Regions from separate parts of the Mus musculus genome. Here region 2 is reported to be linked to region 1. Evidence: microRNA targets listed by miRTarBase, many of them from high-throughput screens and not tested one by one. Region 1 holds a microRNA gene; the other region holds the end of a gene's coding sequence.
The links. The annotated mature microRNA mmu-miR-703 reads AAAACCUUCAGAAGGAAAGAA and lies in region 1 at 1,326-1,346, opposite strand. An mRNA with a match to its seed (bases 2 to 7 or 8) in the 3' UTR can be bound and repressed. Matches are read on the target gene's strand: a 7mer-m8 pairs with bases 2 to 8, a 7mer-A1 pairs with bases 2 to 7 and ends in A, and an 8mer does both.

Region 1 (3,197 bases):
AGGGGGGTACAACATTTGAGATGTAAATAAATAAATAAATAAATAAATGAATAAATAAATAAATAATAAAAATTTTCACTATTCATATTATTTTCTATAAAGCAAACATGGAAAAAAAAAGAAAAATATTCCTTCTGTGGTCCTGATCTTTAAATATTTTCATGGTACAGATGTGACTGTGTATCTTACTCTGACCAAGCCAGATGAAATTCTCAACTGGAATAGCAGAGCTGTAATGTCCTTTATTGGAAATCAGTGGTTCATTTTATTATCTAGATTTCTTCTGAGACATCACCTAAGTATTTGAATGGCACAGAATATTTTAAAAGCTGTAGAAACAAGAGACATTAATGAAACCAGGAAATACTTTGTTAATATGAAGGCAACTTTCCAGAGAGTTAAACAAAACTTGAACAAATTTACTATTGAACCCAGTAGTTATAAAGTATATATATGTATAGCTAGCTATGATGGATAGGGCCATGTCTAAAATTAGAAGTTGATTGAAATAAAATGTAACCTTCCATTTTCTCCTCATTACATGTGAAGAGAATTTATTTGGTCAGCCATAAGAAAAAATAAGTTTATAACTGAAAATATAATTTATTATATATAATTAAACATCTGGTTTTTGTTATATTTCTCTGCAATACATATCTGAGTCTTAAAAGCCTATTTAAAAGCCTCATTGTTATATAATTCAGGACCTCCGAAGGGGCTACCTAGTGTCATCTGAGGTAGCTTCAGCTGTGGCTAGAGATACACTTCAAAGATGGAGCCTTCATTCACATTATAGGTGACTAACTTCTCTGACTAGTGGCCGGTCTGTCTCTCTCTTCATATGACAACTCATTCACTTGAGCTTTTCTATGTGGTGTGAAGTTTTCATAGCATGGTAAGTTCAATATGGTTGCCTTTGTTATATGTGTGAGCAGAAAAAAAAATCATGACCAGTATTTTTTCCTGTATTTCACTGTGGGACATTATCAGATTCAAGGAGGTGGAGGGGGAAGGATATGTTTCATGACGCCTCTACTGTCATTATCATGGTTCATAAATCACAAATCTAAAGAGTGCTTATTTACTGAGAAGCAGCGTTTATCATAGCAAATAAATGGAATGAGCCCAATCAGTTATCAGTAATGAAGAGAGGAAATGATGGTTTTCTAAGGACGGAGTCTTTTTTTTTTTTTTCTCATTAAACTTGTTTTAATGGTCTCAAATTCTGTGACAGATTTTTGGTCAAGTTGTTTCCATTAAAAAGTACTGATTTTGAAAACTAATAACTTAAAACTGCCACACACAAAAAAAAATGGTCCACAACATTCTTTCCTTCTGAAGGTTTTATGATGCATTGTTATCATTAACCAGTCTTTTACTTTTATTAAACTTAAATGGCCAATTGAGACAAACAGTTCTGAGGGACGGAGTCTTAAGCAGCTGAAGGAGGTGGTGGAGGAATCTCCTAGCAAGAGCAAGTTAGGTCACACAGTATTCCCTTGAAGAAATTATTGGACCTGTGGTCCTTTCCTCTTTCTTCTGTACATCCTGGCCATTGTGAGGTAAACCTATTTTTGTCTGCCACATGACTCCAATCATCATATATGATGTTACCACAGGCCAGTGGTGCCTCAACCATGAGAACCATCAGTGGGGCCATTCAACTCTGAGTGACATCAGTGAAACTTTCCAATGATGAGACGCATCAATGGATCCTCCCAACAACTAAGGAGATATTATTGGAGTCACTAGATGGATGGAACCAGTATAGTAAAACCATCAGACTATAAGAAGCGTCTTTTGAAACCAGAGGCCAAAAGAAACTCCTCCACCTTTTCAGTGAATTATCTTCAATGTTTCGTTCCAGTAGTGAAAAGCTGCCTCATACCTTTTCCAGCCTAAAGAGCTTTAAAACAGTCTCTGACCACTCGCTACAGTATGTACCCTAAGGCAAAAAGATCTGCAAAAAAATCGAACACTGTTTTCAATAAGTACATTATTCTCTTTGGAAACATTAGTAGTTTTATTTTGAGATATTTGTGGTAAATCATTGAGTTGCTCTGTTGTTATCTGTGGACTTTAGGACTTTGATACTTAGGAAAGGAGTCTGTGGTTGTCATGAGGGGGCATCTCACATGGAGAGTACAGCTGCTCCCTTAGCCCATCAGATCCTGAAACCCACAGTGTGTTTGCAGGGAGGCCACATCTTCCACAGGTTTCTGTGTCTAGTGGCTGGGTGTAATGGGATGTTCTATTACCTTTTGGGGGGGAACACCTACTCCTTATTGTCTGTGTTTGGATGAAGGTCTCCTACGTGACTTTGCTGAAGATTCTGTGGCACGTTGCCACCTCTGTCTTTATCTGTCTCTTTCCCTCCTTTTTGCTTTGTTGAGACATGGGCTCATGGTGAAGTCTTGAACTAAGTTCTTGCCACAGGCTTCCAGCTGGGTGATGACAAGCATTTGACACTGTGCCCAGTTCTGCTTCTCTGATATCTTACTCCATGACTTGGAGGAAGATGCCAGGTTTACGTCCCAATGCTGCAATTTTAATTTTTAAGAAAATTTTCTATTTTTATGTTTTATCACCATATATTAATTTTATAAAATGATGGGTTTGTTGTGACATTTTCACAATGTGTACAATGTTCTCTGATCACTCTTACCCCTTAGCCAGTGCTCTTTTCATTCCTTATCGTTCTTGATGTTCCATTGTCTGAAAATAATTTTTATTAAAGTAACAGATTTAAAGAACATCATAGAGTAAGGTTTTGTTTTAAAAACAGTGTTAGAATGTATTATATATAAAATGAATGTCATGGCAATTTTTAATATATATACATAATGTTCTTTGATCACTCTCTTTCCTAGTCTTGTTAACCCCTTACCTCTTCCCAACTAACCAGCCTTCTAAGTTTATATCTTTTTGCCTTTCATTTGTGACCTATTAAGCTTAATTAGCACAGTTTATAGGAGCGTAGGAACCTTTCCAGTTGATATACTATTGAAGAAAATGTCTCTCCTTCCCCCATTAATTGCAGTAGGGGCCACATCCCTGAAACTCTCCCTTTCTCCATCGCACAGCTGAAGGACCCAATCTTTTGCAGGCAATCACAGCTGCTGTGGGTTGATTGCAGTTCTCCCCCAGATCCACAGAGCCTTCACACTCCCGCTTGGGTGTCTCAGTGAAGAGAAACA
Region 2 (3,103 bases), not on the chromosome of region 1:
TCTCTGCAAGTGAACTGTAGCCCAGCTGGAGCTACTCACGTTAGAGACAACTCTCATTTCTCCCAGCAACCCAGATAACACAGAATAGGATTAAACAGGAAGACATAAAATATAATAGCATTACCACCTCCTGACCAAGATGGGTCCTTGTGATCCAGGCAGGCCTCAAGATCTTTTATTATTCCTGCTCTACCGGCCAAGTTCTGGGATTCCAGATGTGCATTACCGGCAGTGTCTGGGTTTTGGACTGGCTATCAAACCCAAGCCTTCTGTACAGTAGGCAAGCACCCTCAAAACGGAGCTGTCTCCAGCTTCTGCCCTAGCAATCCATTTTCTTACTCTCTTATTCAGTTGTCCTTTCCCTAACCCGAGGATAGATAGCATTCTCTTCCTACATCTGAGACCTCTTAGGTTCAGTCCTTTAATTAAATCACTGCTTGAGAAGCCTTTGACATTCATCCAGGTGCTGGTAGCAGTGCACACCTTTAATCCCGGCAGAGGTGGATCTGTGAGGCCAGCCTGGTCTACAAAGTGAGTTCCAGGACAGCCAGGGCTACACAGAGAAACCTTGTCAAAAATAACAAAAAGAATCCTTTGACCATTAGGCCACTTTCAAAGTTTATCCCTGGGAGGTCTGCTCCTCTTTTGTAGGGAAACAGGAGGAATAGATGTGAGGAAGAAGGGAGGTGGGGGACGAACTAGGAGGAGTGTGTGTGTTGTGTGTGTGTTGGGGGGGGGGGAGGGGGGCACAGTTGAGATGCAGTGCATAGAGAGTAAAAAGAAGAACAGAATCCCTCAGAGTGTGCTCTGTCTGATCTACTAGAGTACAGTGCTACATGTGCATGGACACTCACAATAAACACACAGGAAAAGGAAGTCTTTAGAGATCTCAGGAGCTGATAGTGTAGCTCCTCTCGGACAGAGTATATAAGAGCATTGTAAATGGAATGCAAGAATCTGCCGACCAGAGTCAGGTAGAGTAACAGATAATGCTAACACATTATTCTGACGACTGTCTAATGAGCAGTAAGAGGTTCTGGGGGCATGCTTCTAAGTGGCAATATTTTCACAATGTTTTGTGTCTCCTTGAACTCACCAGCATGCCATATACACAGACTATTTTAAAAAACATTTTCAAAGACACAGTAAAAAAAAAAAAAGAAAGAAAATAAGACCACCACCAAGTTTGACAAAATTTATTGTAATTTTAGTAAAGACATTCAGCTCAGTCGTCTCTCTCCATCTTGACGTCAGGTTAATTTGTTATTCGAGTCAAGTAAAGAATATGTAGGAGAGGTGTTATTTCAACAAACAGTAAAATGGACAAATGGACAGTTTGCAGACATAAATGTTAAATTTATGTATCTTGATATACTTAAATCATGTATGAACTAATAGTGCTATGTACATTTCCATCGTTTTACTTGGGGCTTATGAAGTAAACTAAACTGTAGTGAACCAAGTGTTAGGAATATCCGCAGGCTGCTTCTTGAAGTCACTACATTAAAAACTGCCCAGTGAATCATCGCCACCCAGGAAACTCCCCGAAGCTGCCTCCAAACTCAACATTGCCATTTTCAAAGGACATTTTATCATCTCTTTTGTCTGTGACTATTAAAGATGCATTTAACTGTCACATTTAAAAAGCCCATATACAATACAAAAATACAAAACAAACATCCTACATTCAGAACTCTAAGAGCATATGCGATGAGACGCTCGCAATGAAGATGTGTCTAGAGAAGCATTTCTGTCCTATTGCAGTCACTAAATGTGCTTTTGAAACCACTGGTCAGGTTGTATGTACGTAAAATAAGCCTGGAGTTGGACAAGTAAGAAACCTTGTGAATTCAATTCAAACCGGATCTAGTAAGTTAGTAACACAAATGCTTCAAATGTCACAGGTGTGTCGCCTCATCTGCCTTCATACAATGCTATACCTTTTTTTCCTTTTTTGTTATTTAAACCTTTTAAAAAATAAAAGCCAGCCAAATACATAAAGCACTATGTACACTGATATTTTTGGTGGTGTTTGTACTTTAAAAGAAACAGCTTCCTTATGTTTTGCCTCAAGTTCTGGTGGAAATGCTTCTAGGAACTAGAACAGAAACCAAGAGAAGCACATTCAGAATACTGGTTCACTTTGGTAGCAAATAGTGTCCTCTGAAGGTCCTCAACGGAGACACACTCCGTTAGAGTGGGCTAGTCATAATACTCAATTCTTCATATAAGAATTTTTAACGAAAAAAATTTATTTTTACAGAGCAAGCATCGGTACCCACTGAGAGCGAAGCAGTACTAGCTAGAATGGCCCGAAACAAAACGAAATGCCCGCAGGAAAGGGTTTACTTGAACCTCATCTAAACTTCCTCTCAGCCAACAGTCACAACAGTAACACTGGCTTCTCAAGCCAATCTCCCTCTCGGTAAGGCTGCTGCAGGGAGCCGGACAGTCGGGTAACGAGGGAGAAGTCAGGAGAGGAACTGCTTCCAGTTTGAAGCAGACAATAACTTTTGGCTTCCCTCTTAATGTGCTAATAGTTGTGTCTAAAAAAATATGCAATTCTTAGAAAGGTACCACTTGTGATTTCTTTATTATCTGTAACCCTTGGAAACTAATCATGTGAAACTACAAAATTAGCAAATGTCTTGAAATCTGTATATAAAACATAAATTACCTCTAATTGCAAACTCTCATTTATTAGTGTACCACTCAATCTTAAAAAAAAAAAAAAAAAAAGAAAAAAGGAAAAGAAAAAAAGAAGAAAGAAAAACGGCTCCAAAGCTAGTCTTACACCATTCTTTACAAAAAGGAGACTGCTCCTTCTAACTGCACCCACCCACACCCCAGTCTCAGACACTTCACTTAATTGTCTTGGTCGTGGACGTTTCCAAGATGAGATTTTATATTTCGCTCCCACAGCTTCTGGTTATCGGAAAAGCCATGCTTCCCTTTATTAAAGGAGTTTGGTCCCGCTGATGTTGGTGTGTCCCTGTGTTAAAAGAAATTCAATTTATTCAAATTATTGTTGTGGTCTATTTTAAACATGTTAATATACATTTGCTTAGCGCTCATTAGAAATACAGACTGAATAGCAGAGGCC

Region 2: the mRNA of Pcnp is a reported target of mmu-miR-703. Seed matches in the 3' UTR shown: 8mer at 1,963-1,970 and 7mer-m8 at 1,838-1,844.

What each region holds. Positions count from the first base shown.
Region 1 is chr5:98,474,291-98,477,487 of GRCm38, forward strand. It overlaps Mir703 (microRNA 703), which reads right to left and starts at 1,374; the gene lies at 1,266-1,374. All of the region lies in intron 2 of Cfap299 (cilia and flagella associated protein 299), which reads left to right.
Region 2 is chr16:56,014,326-56,017,428 of GRCm38, forward strand. Pcnp (PEST proteolytic signal containing nuclear protein) reads right to left here. Exons shown (of 5, transcript NM_001024622.2): 5 at 1,183-2,992. The coding sequence ends at 2,866. Among named protein-coding and RNA genes, the nearest start is that of Pcnp, 14 kb to the right of the region's middle.